4 linked regions of the Arabidopsis thaliana genome follow. The protein of the gene in region 1 interacts with the protein of each later gene in a biochemical or structural test. Each region holds a gene or a part of one and is shown in the gene's direction. Other genes may lie near its edges. The genes, in order: DCL1, SE, DDL and HEN1.

Evidence for each region.
Region 2: the proteins of DCL1 (region 1) and SE form a complex in vitro, tested with the Arabidopsis thaliana proteins (one study listed by BioGRID).
Region 3: the proteins of DCL1 (region 1) and DDL form a complex in vitro, tested with the Arabidopsis thaliana proteins (one study listed by BioGRID).
Region 4: the proteins of DCL1 (region 1) and HEN1 form a complex in vitro, tested with the Arabidopsis thaliana proteins (one study listed by BioGRID).

What each region holds. Positions count from the first base shown.
Region 1 is NC_003070.9:21,819-26,440, forward strand, and holds the start of DCL1 (dicer-like 1), read left to right. Parts: upstream 1-1,597; 5' UTR 1,598-1,700; coding exon 1,701-2,633; intron 2,634-2,723; coding exon 2,724-2,837; intron 2,838-2,933; coding exon 2,934-3,144; intron 3,145-3,222; coding exon 3,223-3,617; intron 3,618-3,705; coding exon 3,706-3,925; intron 3,926-4,006; coding exon 4,007-4,179; intron 4,180-4,262; coding exon 4,263-4,385; intron 4,386-4,473; coding exon 4,474-4,622. UniProt on the Arabidopsis thaliana protein: Ribonuclease (RNase) III involved in RNA-mediated post-transcriptional gene silencing (PTGS). Functions in the microRNAs (miRNAs) biogenesis pathway by cleaving primary miRNAs (pri-miRNAs) and precursor miRNAs (pre-miRNAs).
Region 2 is NC_003071.7:11,570,869-11,577,171, forward strand, and holds SE (C2H2 zinc-finger protein SERRATE (SE)), read left to right. Parts: upstream 1-1,528; 5' UTR 1,529-1,718; coding exon 1,719-2,134; intron 2,135-2,345; coding exon 2,346-2,446; intron 2,447-2,693; coding exon 2,694-2,751; intron 2,752-3,089; coding exon 3,090-3,164; intron 3,165-3,248; coding exon 3,249-3,323; intron 3,324-3,417; coding exon 3,418-3,465; intron 3,466-3,615; coding exon 3,616-3,684; intron 3,685-3,773; coding exon 3,774-4,565; intron 4,566-4,645; coding exon 4,646-4,694; intron 4,695-4,809; coding exon 4,810-5,069; intron 5,070-5,177; coding exon 5,178-5,336; intron 5,337-5,428; coding exon 5,429-5,489; 3' UTR 5,490-5,790; downstream 5,791-6,303. Other genes in the region: FRS3 (FAR1-related sequence 3), read right to left, coding at 6,101-6,145. UniProt on the Arabidopsis thaliana protein: Acts as a mediator between the cap-binding complex (CBC) and both the pre-mRNA splicing and primary microRNAs (miRNAs) processing machinery.
Region 3 is NC_003074.8:7,173,921-7,179,579, reverse strand, and holds DDL (SMAD/FHA domain-containing protein), read left to right. Parts: upstream 1-1,559; 5' UTR 1,560-1,708; intron 1,709-1,945; 5' UTR 1,946-1,979; coding exon 1,980-2,354; intron 2,355-2,814; coding exon 2,815-2,846; intron 2,847-2,925; coding exon 2,926-2,992; intron 2,993-3,103; coding exon 3,104-3,161; intron 3,162-3,513; coding exon 3,514-3,606; intron 3,607-4,128; coding exon 4,129-4,243; intron 4,244-4,357; coding exon 4,358-4,405; intron 4,406-4,496; coding exon 4,497-4,542; intron 4,543-4,630; coding exon 4,631-4,701; intron 4,702-4,845; coding exon 4,846-4,885; 3' UTR 4,886-5,144; downstream 5,145-5,659. Other genes in the region: AT3G20555 (uncharacterized protein), read left to right, coding at 966-1,106, 1,189-1,380. UniProt on the Arabidopsis thaliana protein: Involved in the microRNA (miRNA) and short interfering RNA (siRNA) biogenesis. May facilitate DCL1 to access or recognize primary miRNAs. Binds RNA non-specifically.
Region 4 is NC_003075.7:11,185,419-11,192,965, reverse strand, and holds HEN1 (double-stranded RNA binding protein-related / DsRBD protein-like protein), read left to right. Parts: upstream 1-1,842; 5' UTR 1,843-1,912; intron 1,913-2,146; exon of another isoform or gene 2,147-2,361; 5' UTR 2,362-2,390; coding exon 2,391-2,642; intron 2,643-2,732; coding exon 2,733-2,822; intron 2,823-2,975; coding exon 2,976-3,427; intron 3,428-3,511; coding exon 3,512-3,766; intron 3,767-3,978; coding exon 3,979-4,928; intron 4,929-5,429; coding exon 5,430-5,581; intron 5,582-5,725; coding exon 5,726-5,842; intron 5,843-6,036; coding exon 6,037-6,156; intron 6,157-6,261; coding exon 6,262-6,702; 3' UTR 6,703-7,030; downstream 7,031-7,547. Other genes in the region: MS5 (Tetratricopeptide repeat (TPR)-like superfamily protein), read left to right, coding at 7,122-7,334, 7,519-7,547. UniProt on the Arabidopsis thaliana protein: Methyltransferase that adds a methyl group to the ribose of the last nucleotide of small RNAs (sRNAs). This protects the 3'-end of sRNAs from uridylation activity and subsequent degradation.

The sequences.
Region 1 (4,622 bases):
AATATCTTAGTTTCTTCGGCCTCACTATTCGACTTCTATCTTCAATATATTTTCGCGTATTTTTTTATTTGAATTATTTGGTTTTTGGTTAGTTAACTAAACGAGCAACAGAACCAAGATCGAATTGCGTTTGCCGTTTGGATTCAATTATTGTAGAAAATTCGACTTTTCAGACATTTGTTACGTTCTTTCTAGTAGTTATATTAGTTATTATATGTGGAGTGGAAAGAGATGAAAGTAGATGTAAAACATAAGTGATTTCTTCATAGTGATTTTAAAACTTTTTGTTGATTTTCAAAATTATATAATATCCATAAAAAATAGCCTATGCGTGTTGGATGCTTACAAAGAAGAATTTGTTTTCGGCGTTAGCCAAAAGTCGATGGCATTTGCTAAAGGTGTTATTTGAGTGGAAATGATCTAGAACAAAAACGCATTGATATACCACCACTATAATGATTTGGAGACGTATCTAGTTCTCATCAACTTTTCAATAGTAAACGCATTATCAAGGTAAACGAAGAGTTTTGCTTTATCAGTGTACCATACACACATTAATAGATTGATGGACGTTAGTGACTTTGGTATTGACTTTAACGCCAAATGGACATCAATTCTGCAAGGCAATGCCTAGTTTCAAAGCAGCGTTACTTAACATTTAACTAAAGGTAGTGCAAACTGGTTAATACTTTTTAACGGCTTTGCAGGAAGAGTCTCGACTAAAAGGAGAGGAAGAGATGAGATCGACGAAGATTTTCATATCATAAAAAGTAATATAGGTTTTTGAAAATAGTTAGAATAATTATTTTTATTTTTATTTTTATGGGAAAGAAGTTGCACGAGTCGGTCCACAGAATGACAGAACAAAAGCATTTTAGAAGTTTAGAACCAACCAATCACTATAGTTTTCCACTTGTCCGTATCTCATTGGTTCATCGAATATTAACTTACATGGAAACAGTAAAAAGCGTGGAATAAGTCGTAAAACTGAAATCTAAAAATGAAAAGATTTCGATTTCGATATAAATACTTAATCTTTATAAAATAATATCGAAATCTTTTCATTTTTAGTTTTCAGTTTTACACTTTTACTTGATAAATTTAATACATCTGTTAATTTTTTTTCTTCTAAAATTAACATATGATATCTATTCGGGAGATAACCCTAAGAAAACTGATAAAATAAATAAGTTACTTTTTACAAAGTCGAATAAATTATTTACCCTTCTGCTTTAATGGCAATTATCTTAATATTGCAAAAAAAAAAAGAGAGAAATATTACTACAAAACAGAAGCAAGCAAGTGGAAAACAGACCAGAAGAGAGAGGAAGACGAAGAGAGAAACAGAACAGAGTAGGGATCGATAGACCGTGGAATCTCAGAATCACAAACACTTTGCAAAAGGGTTTTCAATTCCTATTTATTTACAAAGAAATCATCAATAGTAGTGGTCTCTAGGGTTTTGCTTGCTCTTCTTCGTGACCCCTTTTTACCTGCAAACAACAACTTCAAAATTGGCGTGTTTCGTACGGTCTATCTAACCCTAATCTGTCACAAAACACTCTTCTTCTCTCACCCCTTTTTCTGGGTTTATTCAATTCTCGTGCTTTTGGTTCTGTTTTCTTCTCTGGGGATTTGGTTTTCTTGAGTGAGTTTTTCTCCTCTTTCTTATGTTCTTGATTTGATTATTATATAGAATTATGGTAATGGAGGATGAGCCTAGAGAAGCCACAATAAAGCCTTCTTATTGGCTAGATGCTTGCGAGGACATCTCTTGTGATCTTATCGATGATCTCGTGTCTGAATTTGATCCTTCCTCTGTTGCTGTCAATGAATCCACTGATGAAAACGGCGTCATCAATGATTTTTTCGGTGGGATTGATCACATTTTAGATAGTATCAAGAACGGTGGAGGCTTACCAAACAATGGCGTTTCTGATACCAATTCTCAAATCAACGAGGTTACTGTAACTCCTCAGGTTATTGCTAAGGAGACAGTGAAGGAGAATGGGTTGCAAAAGAATGGCGGTAAGAGAGACGAATTCTCGAAAGAGGAAGGAGACAAGGATAGGAAGAGAGCTAGGGTTTGTAGTTATCAGAGTGAAAGGAGTAACCTTTCAGGTAGAGGGCATGTTAATAATTCTAGGGAGGGAGATAGGTTTATGAATAGGAAACGTACTCGTAATTGGGACGAGGCGGGTAACAATAAGAAGAAAAGGGAATGTAACAATTACAGAAGAGATGGTAGAGATAGAGAAGTTAGGGGTTATTGGGAGAGGGATAAAGTTGGTTCCAATGAGTTGGTTTATAGGTCAGGGACTTGGGAAGCTGATCATGAAAGAGATGTTAAGAAAGTGAGTGGTGGAAACCGCGAATGCGATGTCAAGGCAGAGGAGAACAAGAGTAAGCCTGAAGAACGTAAAGAGAAGGTTGTGGAAGAGCAAGCAAGGCGATACCAGTTGGATGTTCTTGAACAAGCTAAAGCGAAAAACACGATTGCTTTCCTTGAGACCGGTGCTGGAAAGACACTTATCGCGATTCTTCTTATTAAAAGTGTTCATAAGGATCTGATGAGCCAGAACAGAAAAATGCTCTCGGTGTTCTTGGTTCCCAAAGTGCCTTTGGTTTATCAGGTACCGCCTAATAAGAAACATGTTTGTATTCTTTTTTAAAAAATTGGTTACCTATTGGTTTTGGTTGGTTGATTTATCTTACGTTATCAGCAAGCAGAAGTGATCCGTAATCAAACTTGTTTTCAAGTTGGACATTATTGTGGTGAGATGGGACAGGACTTTTGGGATTCTCGAAGGTGGCAACGAGAGTTTGAGTCTAAGCAGGTTGCTTTTTGATGCTTCTTTTTCATACCAGCTTTGATCTTTTATATGAATCAGTTCTTGAAGTTAACGAGTTTTTTTCTATTTTCTTCTACGCAGGTTCTAGTTATGACAGCACAAATTCTGTTGAATATACTGAGACACAGTATCATTAGAATGGAAACAATTGATCTTCTTATTCTCGACGAGTGTCACCACGCTGTCAAGAAACATCCATACTCTTTAGTGATGTCAGAGTTTTACCATACAACTCCTAAAGATAAAAGACCTGCCATCTTTGGAATGACTGCTTCGCCTGTTAATTTAAAGGGTACTGATTGTTTCTTGTATACAGTTCTCTAAGCTTGCCAATGTTCTTGAAAGTGACACTTTTTGTTTGTAAACGTAGGTGTTTCAAGCCAAGTAGATTGTGCGATAAAGATACGTAACCTCGAGACCAAGTTGGATTCTACGGTTTGTACTATAAAAGATCGAAAAGAATTAGAGAAACATGTGCCTATGCCTTCAGAGATAGTCGTCGAGTATGACAAAGCTGCTACTATGTGGTCTCTTCATGAGACAATAAAGCAAATGATTGCAGCTGTTGAAGAAGCGGCACAAGCAAGTTCAAGGAAAAGCAAGTGGCAATTTATGGGGGCTAGGGATGCTGGAGCAAAGGATGAATTGAGACAGGTTTATGGCGTCTCTGAAAGAACGGAGAGCGATGGTGCTGCCAATTTGATTCATAAACTTAGAGCTATCAATTATACTCTTGCTGAATTGGGTCAATGGTGTGCTTACAAGGTAAAAAAACAACTTAGTAAATAGTTTTCGATAATTTGAAATGGATATGTTATTTTCATATGATATAATTTTTGTGTCTTCTTTCAAGGTGGGACAATCATTCTTGTCTGCTTTGCAAAGTGATGAGAGGGTGAATTTCCAAGTCGACGTGAAGTTTCAAGAATCATACCTCAGTGAGGTGGTGTCACTCTTGCAATGTGAGCTTCTGGAAGGCGCTGCTGCTGAAAAAGTCGCGGCGGAAGTTGGCAAACCAGAAAATGGTAATGCACATGACGAGATGGAGGAGGGAGAGCTCCCTGATGATCCTGGTAAGTATTAATCACATTCTTTGTCTAATCGCTTTTTACCGGTTTTAGAAATCCAATATTAACAGAGCTCTATGGTTTTAGTGGTCTCGGGAGGGGAGCACGTTGATGAAGTAATAGGCGCCGCAGTGGCTGATGGGAAAGTTACTCCAAAAGTACAATCATTGATCAAACTACTCCTCAAATATCAGCACACAGCTGATTTTCGAGCTATTGTTTTCGTTGAGAGGGTGGTTGCTGCTTTGGTTCTTCCTAAGGTTAGGATTAAAGTGAAAAAAACAATTTATTTTCTTGTGTATAATTTTTCTGCCTATGTCTCTCTGAGCCTGGAAATTTTCAGGTTTTTGCGGAGCTGCCTTCGCTTAGTTTTATACGGTGTGCCAGCATGATTGGACACAATAACAGCCAGGAGATGAAATCATCTCAAATGCAGGATACAATTTCCAAATTCCGAGATGGGCATGTATGATTTTTTTTGTCTTTCATTAAGACATATTTTTTTTTTATCTTATACTGAAATGTCTTACTATTTCCTCTTTCTACTGTGATAGGTGACACTGTTAGTTGCCACAAGCGTTGCTGAGGAAGGACTTGATATTAGGCAATGTAACGTTGTTATGCGTTTCGACCTTGCAAAGACGGTGCTGGCATACATTCAGTCTCGTGGCCGGGCAAGAAAGCCTGGATCAGACTACATACT
Region 2 (6,303 bases), on another chromosome or scaffold:
AAAGGTGTGAGTGAGAGTATCATTGTATTCATGTTGAATATGAGAGAAGAACAGTGCCCTTTATTACCAAATTGCATCATGATATATAAAACAAATGAAAATTACGCATTGCAGGATATTTGCTATTTAGCGAGACATGATCATTCTCTCAAATCTCAAACTCAAATCTCATGCCTCCGTATATAGAAAAAAACAAAGAAATCCCAAGCAAACACAACGAAGATACATAAATTAAATCCAAGGCAACAAATACAAATCAAGCTTATGTTGCTCCCAACACAACACAAATCAATCATACATACCAAATAAAAAAAACCCTCAAAGCAACTATCTATCAACAATTAAAGAACAAATTTCCACTTTGAAATCCTAACACAATCTAACCTATTCTCTTAACTTAGTAACCTGTTCCGCCGTTTAAAGTTCCTCAAGCAAAATCCTTATGGAAAGAGTAAAACTTTCACAGAACCATCGGATAGATGACAAACAATCAGAATCACATAAGAAGGCAACTTTTTCGTAATCGGAATCCCAAAATAGGGCGAGAGAGAATATAAGGAGAGCATAACCAAAGTCATACCGCAGACAAAACACAAAACTGATTGAACAAATTAAGAAGTTTTCTTAGAGTAATCGAAAATCAAAACCTGAAAAGTGCACGAATTTGACAAAAAAGAGAGATTTTTATAGAAAGGTAAAGAAACCCAAATGAAATTGGACCATTAGAGTAGAAGAAAACCTAGAAAAGGTGAGATTTTTCACACAAGTAGAAGAAACAACAGTAAGATGGAGAAACGGTGATACCTAAAGAGATGTCCTTTGAGAGCTTTGGAGTTACGCGAGAGGATCAAACCCAAAAGAAAACAAAACGTCTTCTTCTACAGGAGACGAAGAAGAAGGAGAGAGGTGGTCTGTGTCGTGTGTGAGTCAGCAGCGAATCAGATGGGTAGAGAGAAGAGAGAGAGAGAGAAGAGGAATCTTATGCGAGAGGAGAAAAAGGAGATTGTGTGTGTATGTGTGTGACTACCAACATGCAATAAAGCATTTGCTTGCTTGTAAAGACGATTTTGACGGATGACTCCAAAAACGGTAACTTTCTCTTGCCGTTGTTATTTCTACTCCGGTTACTTTTCTTACACCTTTTTTTTGTTTGTCTTTTTATTTTTTTAAGGATTCATTAGTTTATGATAAACATCCTTAATCTATGGTCTTAGTCAATTGCTTTACAAAACAATTTTGTTACATGTCAACTCACATTTTAGTATTTTACTAATAATCAAATCCATAGACAGATTATGAAAAAATAATCCATAGTGATCCCATAAAAAATAGAAACTAATCTTATCAAATTGACAGAGATACTAAGACTTATTATTGGCTTAATTTACAGAATTGTTTGAAGAATTTTTCTGGAAATGATGGGAAAGAATCTGACTGAAATATTAAAATAGTTTTGCTTCGATGAAATGGAGGAATAGTCAAAGGTGTGGACAAATAATTAACATAGAAATCCAAATACTGTATTTTCATAAAGACGAAGATGGGCCTCTGAGAGTAAGGCCTATTTATGAAGACGAAGATGGGTCTCTGAGAGTAAGGCCCTATTGGAAATAAAGCTCACTGTAACAGTAACAGCAGCAAAACCCGTAAAGGTAGAGGGAGAGACACAGAGGCTTCGAGTGAAATCGTACATTCTCCGATTTAGGGTTCCGAACGAAATGGCCGATGTTAATCTTCCTCCGTCTGATTCCGTCGATAACCGTCTCCCTGAGAAATCAACCTCTTCCTCACCACCTCCTCCACCGCCTTCTTCTTCTCTGCCGCAGCAGGAACAGGAACAAGACCAGCAGCAGCTTCCGCTACGCCGTGAGAGAGATTCACGAGAGCGTCGTGACGAGAGAGACATCGAACGTCCTCCGCCTAATCGCCGTGAACGTGACCGTTCGCCTCTCCCACCGCCTCGTAGGGATTACAAGAGACGTCCTAGCTTGAGTCCTCCGCCACCGTATAGAGATAGGCGACACTCTCCTCCTCAGCGTCGCTCGCCTCCTCAAAAGCGTTATCGGAGGGATGATAATGGCTATGATGGTCGCCGTGGTAGTCCTCGTGGTGGCTATGGACCACCCGATAGAAGGTAATCTTCATTTCTTATGCTTACACTTCAATTGGAATTACATCAGAGTTAATTTGTTACCGATTGAATTATAATTCAAAGTCATATGGGAACTGTGTTTGCATTGTTGCTTAGCTGATAACTGTTGATTATCCTCTTGTATCGATGGTTGTTATATTCCATCGTTTTCGAGATTTCCTAATCTGTACTCAATTTTTACTTTGCATGTTAGATTTGGGTATGACCATGGTGGAGGATATGACCGTGAAATGGGTGGGAGGCCTGGTTATGGTGATGAAAGGCCTCATGGTCGCTTTATGGGTCGCTATCAGGGTGAGACATCTCTGTCTAAGATGTTTTTACAGTTGAGAGAATCAGTATTACCACTTTTTCGTATGATTTCTGTCTTGTGAGACATGTTTAAGATACCTATCATTGGGCGTTCTTATTATTTGTGGACTTCTGTTCATTTGACTAGCTTCGTATATTTCTCTCTGTATGCTGTGGATTGGAAACAAGCGATTTACATTAGAAGATAAGATGTCAATATCTACCTTTTATTGTGTGTTACTTATGGCAGACTGGGAGGGAGGACGTGGAGGTTATGGTGATGCTTCCAACAGTGGAAATCCTCAAAGGTTAAGGTTCCTTCTTCTTTTGTTTTTTAAAATTTTCTTTGTATTTCATGGGTTTGTTGTCTTTTTCCTATGGCGTGTTTATTCTTGGTAGCGTATTTTTAATCAAGTTAGTGTAAACTAAGAGTTGCGAACTGTCTAATGGTGCTCAATGAATGGAGGATACATCCCTTGTAGAATGTTCTTTCTTCGATGAGACATATATGTTTTTTTCCTTATAGCTCCGGAAAGTTAGAGTGAATGTTTGAGAGACACCATTATAGTGGCACACAACTGATGCTGTCTGTATCCTCCCTTGCTGTTGCATTTAACGATACTACCTTTGTAATTCCTTTACCCAGGGATGGATTGATGTCATACAAACAATTTATCCAGGAGTTGGAAGATGATATATTGCCATCTGAAGCTGAACGCAGGTATGATCATTTCTGCTACTTAGTCTTGTTACTTAAGCAATTTAATAATAAAGCTGCGGGTGTAATGCTTTTTTCCTGATGCAGATATCAAGAATACAAGTCAGAGTATATCACAACACAAAAACGTGCCTTTTTTAACACCCACAAAGAGGAAGACTGGTGATTTCACTATCTTTTTTCATCTTTTATATTCTTCTGGGATATTCTGCAAGCTAGCCTAATAACATGTGTATCTATGTTGCGCATCTACCAGGTTGAAAAATAAGTATCATCCAACAAACTTACTATCTGTCATAGAAAGGTGAGTTCAAGAGTCATTTGAAGCAATTTGATTCGGTGTTAGTGCCTGAATAGTGTAATATTAATACTATACATCCTTGATTTTATTATTTTAATTTTCTTTTCATTAAAGAAACTGTTCAACTATAGATATTCCTTTGAAATTTTTCAGGAGGAATGACCTTGCACAGAAGGTGGCAAAGGATTTCTTACTTGATTTACAAAGCGGGACACTAGATTTGTAAGATCATTTCTTTGGCCTTTATTCCACATGTGTGACTGATCACAATTCTGTCATCTCTAACGCTCTCAGTTTCCCTTCTGTTCCAGAGGCCCTGCAGTGACAGCATTGAATAAATCCGGCCGGACCAGTGAGCCTAATTCTGAGGATGAAGCCGCTGGTGTTGGTAAAAGAAAAAGGCATGGTATGGGTGGAGCTAAAGAGAATGAACTTCTTTCAGCCGCACCGAAAGCACCCAGTTTCACCTCTGATCCAAAGAGAATCCTGACTGACGTTGAACAAACACAAGCCCTTGTGCGTAAGCTAGACTCTGAGAAAAAAATTGAGGAAAATGTTTTACAAGGTTCAGAAACTGAAAAATCAGGTAGAGAAAAGTTACACAGTGGTTCTACTGGTCCAGTTGTAATCATAAGGGGGTTGACATCTGTGAAAGGCCTTGAGGGTGTTGAATTACTTGACACGCTTGTTACATATCTATGGCGTGTTCATGGTCTGGACTATTACGGAAAGGTTGAAACAAATGAAGCTAAGGGTTTGCGGCATGTGAGAGCTGAAGGAAAAGTTTCTGATGCAAAAGGAGATGAGAATGAAAGTAAATTCGACTCTCATTGGCAAGAGAGGTTGAAAGGTCAAGATCCCTTGGAAGTGATGGCTGCCAAAGAGAAGATAGATGCTGCCGCTACTGAAGCTTTAGATCCACATGTCCGAAAGATTAGAGATGAGAAGTATGGTTGGAAATATGGTTGTGGAGCCAAGGGCTGCACGAAGCTGTTTCATGCTGCTGAATTTGTGTACAAGCATCTCAAGCTGAAACACACTGAGCTTGTCACAGAGCTGACTACCAAAGTTCGGGAAGAACTGTATTTTCAGAACTATATGAAGTATGTAGGCTTTTTCTCTTGGATTCCTCTACTGTCGTTTCTGACAGGTTCGTAATGAAATTTTTTTGTGCTATTTGCAGTGATCCTAATGCTCCAGGAGGACAACCAGCCACGCAGCAATCTGGCCCGGTACATGATCTTCTTTTGAGATTTAATGGAGTGTTGACTAGTCTGTACTTTTGGGTTATCACTTGTTTAGCTTGGTTTGAGTTTTATTTACGTGGGTTAATTATACTTTCAACAGAGAGATAGACCTATAAGACGTAAACCCAGCATGGAGAACAGACTGAGGGATGATAGAGGTGGACGCAGAGAGCGTGATGGACGTGCTAATGGAAATGACAGAAATGATCGGTCAGAAGATCAACAGAGAGGGGATAATGATGGTGGAAATCCTGGGGAAGTTGGGTATGATGCATTTGGTGGACAAGGTGGTGTTCATGTTCCTCCCTTCTTATCGGATATAAACCCACCACCAATGCTGATGCCTGTTCCTGGTGCTGGGTAGGTTTAATAAAGATTACTCACTCCCTTCATGATCTTGTTTTCAGAATAAATTAGTTACTGTGTTGAATCAATGATCTTAATGTGTCTGAATGATGATGTGGTCAGGCCACTGGGACCATTTGTACCAGCACCACCTGAAGTTGCTATGCAGATGTTCAGGGACCCAAGTGGACCCAACCCTCCTTTTGAAGGTAGCGGGAGAGGTGGACCTGCCCCTTTTCTGTTGTCTCCGGCCTTTAGACAAGATCCTAGACGGCTGCGCAGGTAACGTAGTTCACTCTGTGCTATGAGTCCATTACCCTATGATCAAGAGTGCAGTGTCTCTAAGGTACTAATGTATGAGAAATTTGGTGCAGCTACCAAGACCTAGATGCTCCAGAGGAAGAAGTGACCGTTATTGATTACAGGAGCTTGTAGACAAGACAGGGCTAGAGAGATCCCGAGTTTACTGGTTCGGGTTGGGTTAAAGGGCATCAGTATTAGAAGGCAAAGCTAGCAGATTGTGGCATTTTCTTACCCTTTTGATGTATTATGTCTTGTTCCTCCCAATTTTCACTCACTAAAGCGTAAAATACGCACTCCATACATTTCCTTATTGTTTTTCAAAATTTTTCATGTGCTTTCTTACTAATTCTGTTCGACGATGATTACATAAATAGCATGAGAATTTCTTGTATTGAATAATGCGTTTTATCCACATTGTTTGTTATCAATACTTAAGTCTCCATGGCAGTCTTAAATCTCCATGGCCATTAAATATAATCTGCAGTCAAACGAATGACTATCCACAAGAATCCAGGTTTTTAGGGTTCAATGTAAATAAGAAGGATATATACACTTCAAAGCCTGGCTCAATGCCTACCAGATTCTACACACTTGCGTAGATGACGTGACACTTACACATGTTACAATTACACATAAGGCATTGTATCGTAAATCTAACAACACTAATCACAGACGAGCTCTAATGAGGTTAACAACCATTTTCCAAAGTTTTCTTTTCCAGAGGTTGTTTCTCTCTCTCAACATCATTTGCGTTGCTTCTTTGCTTGAGATTCTGTTTGTAGCTCTCCCTGCAAATGCAAGATACCGTTTAGATACTCTATAAGACAATACATAGACCAAGTAATAGTTCAGGAACAATTATAGGTCGATATGAACCTAATTGATTGCTGTTACTATTACTAATTCAACTATCATTGGCCTTGTAATTATTTAATAACTACTACTT
Region 3 (5,659 bases), on another chromosome or scaffold:
TTTATATTGTCCATTAATGAAAATAATTTCGATAGAAGCTGAAACAAGATATATTAATTTCATTTTAGCTTATATTCTCCGTTATCTAGCGTTTGATGTAACATTTATAAGTATATATCTGTATTAAGTACAAGAATTTGTTGAGGAAGGAAAAAGTGTTCTTACAAACAAAAATATAAATTTGTCAATGATGGAGACATGTAATTCGTGGGGAACTGCTACTAAGTGTTTAACGATAATATATATGGTTTATAACGTGACAAGGTGATGATAGTCAATTCATCTATTTGAAAATCCTTCAACAAAAAAACAGAAAACGTGATGAAGGCAACATTAGGCTAACACCACAAATAGCTAATTGATATATAAATATAGTCGGTCCACGTTCTCGAACCTTTATAGTCCGGCAGGATAATTATTTTACTATTGTCTAGCTTACAAAACATGTACGACATATTGCACTTTTAGATTGTGAGATACGAATTGTGTGAATTTGTAAAGTTAGTACCGAATCTTTGATGGTTGTTATAATAATTTGCCTCTTTTTCATCAGCAATCTATGACGTAAGAGGCTACGTATGTTCGCTTAAAATTTGACCTAATTTGGACTTTGTCATAGTGAAACCGTATGACAATAACGAAGAAGGTGACGGTGACCGATTCTGATATATGTGACAGTCTAGCCAGTATTTTGCAAAACATAAGATACTAATGAAGTGCATGATGCATGACCGATATTTGAATTAGATATACAAGCCGGCTGGTAGATCATTAGACAACATTTGTTTGTGTGTCTATGATGCGAAAAAAATAAATATTCTCAATCTTTGACAAAAAATATAATAATGACAAAGTACATATCGTTTTGTTCATACGTAAACAAGAATTAGTTTTTAATCGTCTATAATATTGGCGTACACTAGTATATACATGAAACTAAAGATACATCAAATAAACAAGGAGACATGATTTGGGATTCGATGAGCCATCACCCGACAAACCAAAGCATCACCCGAGAAACTCATACTGACCCGTCTCTAAAGCTCGAGTCTATGAATGCTGTCTTCCACATAAGCTTCAAGGCCAACAGTTGCGACTACAAATCGGTAGTAAGGAGAACTACAGATGGGATTTCAGGACATATGTTCCTCGAAGTTGAAAATTTCTCTCCACAAGTTCCTTCATGAGAGGATCAAAGTTGGTGGTAAACCTGGTGCACTCTGTTACAATCAGAACAAGATCACTGTCACTTCTGATGGTTTATGTCGTTTAGCTATCCACCTCAACTATATCTATGATCTTGTATTTGTCTTCTATCCTATCAAAGTTGGTGGTAAAGCTGGTGCACTCGATTTGTTACAGGCTCACCGATTTGTTTGATGATCAATTATAAAATCTTTGTTGCAAACTAGGACGAAGAAACAAAAATCTCGAAGGAAGTACAAGGGTACGACGTTACAAGCGGCTTCTGCCCTAATTATACATATCCTTTCTACCAAACAAGATATGACACGTGTCAACTAATGGAAGTTTTACCATACCGTCTACAATTTGTTTGATATTGAACCCCTCAGTTTCCATTTATTTGCAAAAGAGGCCAAATAAATGATTCTTCTCGTTTTGGCTCTGATTCTTTTTATCTCTGCGATTATTATTATTCACTCTCTCCTCTTCTCTCCGCCGAAGTAGTCACAGTTCCGGCCACCAGGTAAAATTTTTCTTTCTCGTTATGCAGCGATTTTTTCTCTTAACGATTCTTGCAACCCTAGACTATGCCCGGAACTTCTGAATTTAGTATTTGAAATCTGTAGCTTACGTTTTTTGGTTTAGGGCTTTTGCTCCATTTCTAGTTTCTATGCATTTGGGAATTAGGGTTTACTGTGTTATCTGGAGCTCACATGCCTTTTCCTTCTGACCCTGGTTTCAATTTGTGATCTTTCCAAAGGCAAAGAAGAGAGAAAACGACCCTGACTCCAATAATGGCTCCTAGTTCTAGGTCTCCTTCACCACGTACGAAGAGACTGAGAAGAGCTCGAGGAGAGAAGGAAATTGGGAGAAGTAGAGAGAGAGAAGATGATGGTAGAGAAAGGGAGAAGAGAAACAGTAGGGAAAGGGATAGAGATATAGGAAGAGATAGGGATAGGGAGAGAAAAGGAGAAGGAGAAAGAGATAGGGAAGTTGGGGATAAGAGAAGACGATCAGGGAGAGAGGATACTGAAAAAAGGAGAAGGACAAGAACAGATGATGAGAGATACTCTAGAGGAAGACATGAGAGGTCTACTTCACCGTCAGATAGGAGTCACAGGAGTAGTAGGCGTTCACCTGAAAGAGCTATTGCCTCAAGGCATGATGAGGTATTTCTGCTTCTTTCTTTAGCTTGGATATGTTCTTAATCTCAGAAGTGTTTTTTTTTTTGTTTTGGGTTTTACTTGTGCATATTCGTATTCTGCTTGAAAAGATAAATGTGATTGAAATTGTTTAGCTCTGATGTATGCTAGAAAAGGTTAGCCTCTGCTGCTTGTTTCGTCACATAATAAATAATTGGAATCCTGTAATCTAGCTTATCCATCTCGTGAGTCTATAACTAGAACCTGCAGCCAGCCATTTTTTGCTTACTCTGTTGCTAAAGGACTTAAGAAAGATAGTCTCTTTGTTTCCCTTCAGCATGTCCAGTAACATCACTTCTCATGTTTCTCTCTTTTTAGTAAAAGCTCATTATATAGATTATGGTTGCTTTCTGCAAATTATCATTTTCTGCGAGCCACAGATTTTTGTTACTTCTTCAGTCATTTTTATCGCCTTTTGTCTTTTCAGGGGTCTAATGCAAGAGGGGGCAGCGAGGAGCCGTGAGTTTTCTTCTTATTAGATTAGCCGTTACAATTTTTCAGTCTTTCTTTTAACCATGTTATGGGTTTTCGTTAACAGAAATGTCGAGGAAGATTCAGTCGCGAGAATGAGAGCAGTTGAAGAGGCTCTGGCAGCGAAGAAAAAGGTATTATATCAAGCCCTATTGATTTTCAATTTCCAATGTCATTTTGAGCTCGCTTAGCTCATCCATGCATAAATGCTAACGCTTCAAATCTAATTTTGATATATCTTGTAGGAAGAACCATCATTTGAGCTATCAGGGAAACTTGCTGAAGAAACTAACAGATACAGAGGTGAAACTTCTGATCCGTCCATTTCATTTAAGAATATCACCTGTTACCATTACCTTGTGCTAGAAACTTTTGCCATAGTGTTTTCATTGCATGTTTGAACTGCGAAACATCTGCCTTTGTTGTCAGGTCATATTTACTTAATTTTGTATGCGTACGTGTCTGTCACTGGGTAAAAGCTTTCTTTGGTCAATATCTAATGAGACTAGAAGCTTCAATATATAAGCATCTGCTATCAGCAGATATCTTTTGACTGCCAATCCGCTTTTGCTCCTAGGAATGGAGACGGTGGTTTCTCGCATTAAATTTCACCATAGGCATGCTTAGCTTCCTTGACTGAGTGAATCCTTTGCAGGTATCACACTCCTCTTCAATGAGCCCCCAGAGGCTAGAAAACCCAGCGAACGATGGAGACTGTATGTTTTTAAGGATGGTGAACCACTGAATGGTGAGTCTTTGACGTCTTCCACATCTCTATCCATCTGTCTAAGTAGTGGTTCATTTGTCTTCTATGTATTTCACTTAACTATCTTACTGTGGTGAACGTCAATTTTTTGTCCACAAAATATGCAGTAAAGCATGTAGTGGCAATGAAAGAGATACTCAAGAAATTTTGATGCACTCTAGCCATGTAAACTTGAAAACTGTGGTCATTGATGGTTTAGTGTCCAGATAACAGCGTGATTACCGATAGTAGCCAAACTATAGCTTGATACTTCTTAGAACTTGTCAATTTTCTTAGAATGAATCTTATTATGAATGTTAATGACTCTTAGAGGAAAAATAGCTCCTTTGATCTGATATGTTTGTGACTGTGGCTTCCCGTGTCATTCTTACTTTGAACCCCTGAACATTGTATATAAGATTTTACATTTTGTTTCCCATTTCTGTTTGCTTAATAATTCTGAATGCCCTGAATCAGTTTTCTTGATGTATGTTTCTGTGCATGTGAAATGTGTTGGACTAACAGAGCCACTCTGCCTTCACCGCCAAAGCTGCTACCTCTTTGGACGTGAAAGAAGGATTGCCGACATTCCTACGGATCACCCATCTTGCAGCAAGCAGCATGCTGTCATTCAGTACCGGTAGGGTTCTGACATGTATTTCTCCTTTTAAGTAGTAATATCTATGACAATAGATTTAATGAGAATAAGGTTTTTAGTTTAATATTTATGTCACTGTGAATGTGCTTTTCTCAGGGAAATGGAAAAGGAGAAACCAGATGGTATGATGGGGAAGCAAGTGAAGTAAAACCTATCTGCTCTTTCATTTTGCTTAAAATTTGTACCTCTTCTGGCTTTAAGCTAAATTTTAATTTCCCTTAATGTCACTTTCCAGGCCTTACATAATGGATCTTGGTAGTACCAACAAAACTTATATCAATGTAAGTGCTCAATTACATTCCTTCTTATGTGCTTCTTTATCATGGTTAATTCAAACGTTTGTGATTAGAACTTCTTTTACTTTTTCAGGAAAGTCCCATTGAGCCACAAAGATATTATGAGCTTTTTGAGAAAGACACCATAAAGTTTGGCAACAGCAGGTATTCTAATGAAGACACATTCTAGTTCTGGTTTCCCATTATGAATCATACCCCGTGCCTATTCTCTGTGATTAATCTTTGCTTGCTGTGCAGTTAACATCTACTTTCTTCTGTTCTTGACATGTTTTGTTCTTTTGGTTGCAGCCGAGAGTACGTACTGTTGCACGAGAATTCTGCCGAGTGAATGAAATCAGAGTCAAGCAGAAACGAGTAAATCACAAGATTAGATAGTTGCGTTTCTCAGGGTTTTTAGAGATGTTTGAGCTGCTTCATGTATGCTTTCTACCGTGCTGGTGATAATCTCAGACATCATTTAGAAATCTTTTGCTTGCTTGTTATATAATAAATGATGATGAACGATTGGTAAGAGAAAAAGGTTAACTTTTGGTATAACTGTATAAGATCAATCTCTACTTTAAAATTGTCGCTCCCTGAGGGTTTCGACCTAACTTAACGTAGAAACATGGAGACGACTGAGATTTCAACTAGAGTTACCAAAACGGACATCACTTTCTTAGTAAGATAAAGCTAACTCTGCGATTGAAAACTACTTATTTGTCAAGCCTTTAGTGAGGGATTCAAGGATCAAGTCACGGATCTCCTCCCTGCTTGCTCAGTCAAGAGTGGTTCTGCCGTCAGCATCCTTAACCGTGTAGTCAGCGTTTGAGAAGCTCTTCAATTTTAGGCTTGTCTCCCTCCGAGACTGCTAGCATTAAAAGGATGTCGACATGGTGCATCTTATCTTAGGTACCTTCCACCGCAAGTATCCCCATGTAGTTAAAATACTGCAAATAACACAGAAACGACAATAATAAATCTAACATTTCCTCTGTTTTCTTCATTCACAAACTCAGACACAACCACGTACGGAAGCTTTTATAAGCGCCCTTGTAACAAAACAAAGATTGACATATTTGACTCTAGAAGCTTGAAGTGAACACGAACCTGTTCGACGTCG
Region 4 (7,547 bases), on another chromosome or scaffold:
ATGTTATTAGCTAAAATATTCAGATTATAATTCAGAGTCATATCATAAATAAAATTAATATTAATAAAATAAATGGCTTTTTGGCAAGACGGATTTGGAGAGACGGGTTTTTGAATCAACATTAATAAAAAAATAAAATATAATTAATCCACTGTTTGAATACGGGTTAAATCTTTAATTTATTATTTTTTAAGACCACTAATATTAAACATATCAAATCATCCTAATTTAGAAAAGATTATATAAAACCAAAAATGTTATGTGGTATGTATAATGTTACTATATATAAAATTAAACTATAAAATATAAATGTGTTAGAGAATGATACAATTTGCAAAACTTTTATATATAATAAATAATTCTTAAATTTTAAAAATTATTACTTTAAAAAAATATTACGGGACGGGTAAAGGAATTACAGAACGGGTTTTATTTTGGAATTGGGTTATATGGTGGATGTATTTGAATCAATATTTATAAAATTTTAAAATATTATTAATATGCTGTTTTACAAGGGGTTAAACTTCAGTTTTTTAACAATTGTCTCATGGATTCGTGGTATAGCGTTACTTAATAACAATTATAAACTGTAAAATATAAATATTTTATAAAAATAAAATTTGCAAGTTTTAATAGATATTACTTTAAAAAAATAAATCATCCCGCGGTATACCGCGGGTTAAAATCTAGTTCTGTTTAAAATCTCCATGTTTCTTCCTTAATCACACTTTTACTTTTGGTCATATGATATGACTCATATTTTAGTGTTATGCATTCATTACATGACATGGTTTTCTTCAAATTTTGGCTACAAAGCACAAGAAATGTGAGAATACCAAACATTAAGGTTATGATTCGTAACATTGCATAATAGCATAACGGTATAAGTTGCATAATAAAATATGTAGAATGAAAAACCGTAGAATCAAATTACTTAAAAATATATGTTGATTGGATACATTTTACAGAACGACAAATAAAATATTATATCAACAATATATATTTATACTAATAAAACTGTTTTTAATAAATTTTAAGTAATATTTGATAATAAAAATATAAGATTCTTAAAATCTATTAAAGAGTTGTGAAAATGCTGATTAGAGATTTTGAAATGAAGTAAGTAAAGATATGGTTAGTTATTTGGTTGTTCGGATTTTTAGGGAATATTATTTCGTGTAATATTGAATTAGTAGAGATTCAAGGGATTAATGTGTGCAATTTATGAGGGTAGTGCAAAATAATATTTTTGTTTAGGTAAGTAATTAGTGCAAAACGTGAATAATTGATCAAAAATTTGGTCATTGTCATAAAGAAGACAATCTTGTCTGATTGATTTTGTAGGGACTAAACATACAATATCGAAATTGAAAAATGATTTTTCGACACAAATCTTCCCCAAAAATGTATATGTAGATTATTAATAACATAATTTTTGTGTAAATAATTATAGTTTTTTATTGTTTAAAATTGTTAGTATTTAAGATGCGTAAAATAATAACAATTTCTTATGCGAATAAAAACTATATACCCATTTTTTGCATAATGAATTTTTACTTGTAAATTTAAACAAAAATACAAATTGTGCGTTTTTACGTTTTCTTATACAATTATGCAAATTTTCTTAATATGAGAATTTTTTTACATAATTACATTAAAAAACGCCTTACCAATCAGAGCCTTAAACCTATAATAACTTCACACGTAAATGGTATTTATTTTCTTCTAGAAAAAGAGAATGGTGGATAGGGGAATAAAATAAAAAGTTGGAAAAAGAAACGATTCTACAACATGTAATGACCAAAACACCCTCCTTCCTCCCTCTAAAACCCCATTCTCTCTCTCCCACTCTCTTTTTCTCTGTTGCTCTCTCCTGAGTTCTTCTTACATGAAAGTCCGCTGAACTCTTTAGGTTCGTTGTCGATTATTCTTGCTTTATGTTTGTGTATTTATTTTTTGAACTTCTGGGCTCTTTCTGAAATTCAATTTCATTGACCCATCTTCTCTGTTCATGACAATTCGTTTGTCCTAATGTTACACTCAAAACCCTTTTTTGTTGTTTATACCCAAACCCTCTATCTATCTGTACTTCCTTGGAACGAAATTTTTTTGCTTTGACTCAATTTCTTTCTTAGAATTAGAACATTGAGAATGTTGGAACTCAAATAGATGTTGGTTCGATTTTGAACTTTTTGTTTATTTATTAATGTTTTCTATGGCTCTGATTTGAATTGTCAAGTTTAAGACATTCTTCTTCTTCTCTTAGATACCCTAATTTCAGGGGTATGCACATTTTGCATAAAAGTTCCAATCTTTCCTGATCGTTGACAATATTTATGTGTACCCTTTTGTTTGTCTCAGTGTGTTAAAGAAGCTACATTGTGTTTGTGATGGCCGGTGGTGGGAAGCATACTCCTACTCCAAAGGCGATTATACATCAGAAGTTTGGTGCTAAAGCAAGCTATACAGTTGAGGAAGTTCATGACTCTTCTCAGAGTGGTTGTCTAGGATTAGCAATTCCTCAAAAAGGTCCATGTCTCTATCGTTGCCACTTGCAGCTACCTGAATTTTCTGTTGTGTCAAATGTCTTCAAGAAGAAGAAGGATTCTGAACAATCTGCTGCTGAATTGGCTCTTGACAAGGTATGCTTTGTTGTTTATTATATATATATATATATCTTATGTAATTTATTCTCTCTTATGTTAACGAAGGCAAGACTATTCATGTTGCAGCTAGGCATTCGCCCTCAGAATGATGATCTTACTGTGGATGAAGCTAGGGATGAAATTGTTGGACGCATTAAGTATATATTTTCTGATGAGGTTAGTTGATGAAAAGAAAATTTTGGTTTCTATTATTTTGTAGCTGTAACGACATCCTCGTTAAACATATTACCAGTTATATCGCTGGACCAAAAGGTATCTGGATGTCTAAATAGGAAGTGGTACTGGCATTAATGTTTGTTGCGATTGCAGTTTCTTTCAGCTGAGCATCCTCTGGGAGCTCACCTTAGAGCGGCATTGCGAAGAGATGGTGAACGTTGTGGATCAGTTCCCGTTTCTGTCATTGCTACAGTTGATGCAAAGATTAACAGTCGTTGTAAAATTATCAATCCTTCTGTGGAGTCAGATCCTTTCTTGGCCATTTCCTATGTTATGAAGGCTGCTGCAAAGTTGGCAGACTACATTGTTGCATCTCCGCATGGACTCCGAAGGAAAAATGCATACCCTTCAGAAATCGTGGAAGCACTAGCTACTCATGTATCTGATTCCCTACATAGCAGAGAAGTCGCGGCTGTATATATACCATGTATCGATGAGGAAGTTGTTGAGTTAGATACTCTTTACATTTCATCAAACCGGCATTACTTGGATAGTATTGCTGAAAGGCTCGGATTGAAAGATGGCAACCAAGTGATGATATCCAGGTGATTATATTGTCTTTTTTCTATTAGTAACTGGAGCTTTCTTGGTGTTAATCTGGTATGAAAGTATTTTTTTCTTTTCAACAGGATGTTTGGCAAAGCTTCCTGTGGCTCTGAGTGTAGATTGTACTCTGAGATTCCAAAGAAGTACTTGGATAATTCATCAGATGCCTCTGGTACTTCAAATGAAGACTCATCTCATATTGTAAAATCTCGGAATGCACGAGCAAGTTACATTTGTGGTCAAGATATTCACGGGGATGCAATCTTGGCATCTGTTGGTTACCGATGGAAGTCCGATGATCTTGACTATGATGATGTAACCGTAAATTCATTTTACAGGTCTCTTCTCTCCTACCGCTCAGTTTTATGTCTGATTTGTTTCCTTTCCACATCTTCTTCTAGAATAAGGATTTTAGGAATATTGCATTGGTGTAACGTCTACTAACTCTGAAGTAATGCATTTGATGTTTGTCTTTGCCTTCCGATGAAGCACTGCATATCTTATTCTTATCATGCACTGATGCATGACATTGGCTTTGTGGCTGCTGCAGAATATGTTGCGGTATGTCACCCAATGGAATCTACAAAATTTCCCGACAAGCTGTAATTGCTGCACAGTTGCCTTTTGCATTCACTACAAAATCTAATTGGAGAGGTCCACTCCCCAGGGAGATTCTCGGCCTGTTCTGCCACCAGCACCGACTAGCAGAACCCATCCTTTCTTCATCTACTGCACCTGTGAAATCGTTGTCCGACATATTCAGATCTCACAAGAAGTTGAAGGTCTCAGGAGTTGATGATGCCAATGAGAATTTGAGTAGGCAAAAAGAAGATACACCAGGACTAGGGCATGGGTTTAGATGTGAAGTGAAGATTTTTACAAAGTCTCAGGATTTAGTTTTAGAATGTTCACCGAGAAAATTCTATGAGAAGGAAAATGATGCCATTCAAAATGCTTCATTAAAGGCCCTCTTATGGTTTAGTAAGTTTTTTGCTGACCTGGATGTGGATGGAGAGCAATCATGTGATACAGATGACGACCAGGATACTAAATCTTCAAGTCCTAATGTTTTTGCGGCCCCACCGATTTTACAAAAGGAACACAGTTCTGAATCAAAAAACACAAATGTGCTGTCGGCAGAGAAGCGTGTTCAATCTATAACAAATGGTTCCGTGGTTAGCATATGCTATTCTTTGTCTTTGGCAGTGGATCCTGAATATTCGAGTGATGGTGAATCTCCAAGAGAAGACAATGAAAGCAATGAAGAGATGGAGTCTGAATATTCGGCTAATTGTGAATCCTCAGTAGAGCTCATTGAAAGCAATGAAGAGATAGAGTTTGAGGTAGGGACTGGATCCATGAATCCACATATTGAATCAGAAGTTACTCAGATGACTGTGGGTGAATATGCTTCATTTAGGATGACACCCCCTGATGCTGCTGAAGCTTTGATTTTGGCTGTTGGTTCTGATACTGTGAGAATCCGCTCGCTCCTATCAGGTAATACTTATAATGTTTACATTTGTTGTAGGATAAATTTCTGAAAACGATTTTCTGGTTGAAAAAAAAAAAAAAGGTCTTTATCATATGTTAGACATTTGAACTGCCTTCACCAGTGAACTTAGGTCTAGTCTTACTAGTAACTACAAAGCTCTGGTTCTCACTAATACTAAAAAGAGGCAAAGTTATGTAAGAACCTCACGTAAAGTCTTCTGGTGAAACTTAGGATTGATTTAAAGTCTTGTCCATTTTATTTTTTCTATTCTTTCTGTTATGGAATAATGTATTATTAGCATTTCAACTTTACTGTGTCAGCTCTAGCTAGTTAGATGAATCTGTCGGTCTCTTATTTCTTTTTCAAATCATAGCCAAAATTATCAAAGCTTACATGGCTGTAAACAGAGGATGAACAAAAATTAGACCTATATCTATGACTAAGTTAAGAGATATCATGAACATTTAAATGTGATAGTGATGGATTTCTCTGCTTTTTGTGCACAGAACGTCCATGTTTAAATTACAATATACTTTTGTTGGGAGTGAAAGGGCCATCAGAAGAACGAATGGAGGCGGCTTTTTTCAAACCTCCACTTTCAAAACAACGTGTTGAATATGCACTGAAACATATAAGAGAATCATCCGCTTCTACTTTGGTAAGCTCTATATATCTTAATGTCTTCCTGCTTACTAGGATTATGAATTCAAGACTTTGTTAAAACTCATTTGTTTCAGTCTCTTTTTGTCCTTATTGGTAAATCTTTGACAAGCATAAGATGGCACCTCTATTCTTGTTACAGGTTGACTTTGGATGCGGATCTGGAAGTTTATTAGACTCTCTACTTGACTATCCAACTTCACTTCAAACCATCATCGGTGTTGACATTTCGCCAAAGGGTCTTGCCCGTGCTGCTAAGGTCTGCAAAATCACACATCACTGTTTTTTATTCCCGCTCGTAGACATAACTTGATGAGACTAATGCATCAAAATAATTGATAAATGTTTGATGAAGAATGTATTTGCACCACTCATGATTCTCTGCATTTTGTGTAATTGAAAAGAAATGGTAGATTTACTTATGCTTTTGTGTATCTTGTGTTTCAACTTTAGATGCTACATGTAAAACTAAACAAGGAAGCTTGCAACGTCAAATCTGCTACACTTTATGATGGTTCCATCCTTGAGTTTGACTCCAGGCTGCATGACGTTGACATCGGCACTTGCTTAGAGGTCCACCTCTCATCTGCTCTCTAATCCTTCAAATTTTGTACACGTTTATCAAAAGCAATCTGTCTGGTTTCGGCGTTAAATCTATAATCTGTTCCTAATCTGTAGGTTATTGAACACATGGAAGAAGATCAAGCCTGTGAATTTGGGGAAAAAGTTCTGAGCTTGTTCCACCCCAAGCTCCTGATTGTCTCAACACCAAACTACGAGTTCAACACAATTCTCCAGCGGTCTACACCAGAAACCCAAGAAGAAAACAACTCGGAGCCACAGCTTCCAAAGTTCAGGAACCATGACCACAAATTCGAGTGGACAAGAGAACAGTTCAATCAATGGGCATCAAAGCTCGGCAAACGCCATAACTACAGCGTCGAGTTTAGCGGTGTTGGTGGGTCTGGTGAAGTAGAACCCGGATTTGCTTCTCAGATAGCTATTTTTAGACGGGAAGCTTCATCTGTTGAGAATGTTGCAGAAAGCTCAATGCAGCCTTATAAAGTCATCTGGGAGTGGAAGAAAGAAGATGTAGAAAAGAAAAAGACTGATCTTTGACTAGAGTAGTATCTACCAGAGAATATATATATTGCAAGCAATGTGATGACGTGTTCATCTATAAAACTCAAAGCTCGTTTAGTTCTTTTGCCATGAGCTTTTGCAGATTAACCATAAAATCGAACCTTTATGTTTACAAGATCCTTTTGTCTCCAAGTCTACTGGTCCGTTGAAGTTTAAAGATTAGATCAGTAGATTACCCTTTTTGCCCCTACGTTAAAGTTTGTTTATTTAAATACAAGTCCTTGTGATTTTTATCACTTTCTCACTTCTTCAACGACACTGATTCGTTTTCAAAGCATTTGCGTTCTTGATCTTTTTCACGAGGGCGATTTCTGAAGAACACGAGAATTTGAATTCTGGGAAAAGCTTTCTCGAACTTTATCTGAGTAAATTGACAGAGAGAATCGAAAAAGAAAATGTGTCCCTGCGTAGAGCGTCGTGCTCCACCTGGAGTTTACTATACTCCGCCGCCGGCGAGAACAAGTGATCATGTGGCGGCGATGCCGATGACGGAGAGGAGGAGACCACCGTATTCTTGTTCTTCGTCGTCGGAGAGACGTGATCCGTTTCACATTGTTCATAAAGTTCCTTCTGGTGATTCTCCTTACGTCAGAGCCAAACACGCGCAGGTATAATCAATTTTCCCGCGAAAACAAGACAGGGGAATTTTTCTTTTGACCTAATTTAGGAATTCTAGATTCTTCCTCATGTGATAAAATCTCTTAAAAGCTTTTCAAATTTTGAGTGATCTTCTTGAACCTGTCTATGATTGAGGTTTTCTAACAAATGGATATTGTTTATGTGGAAGAACAGTTGATAGATAAAGATCCGAACAGAGCTAT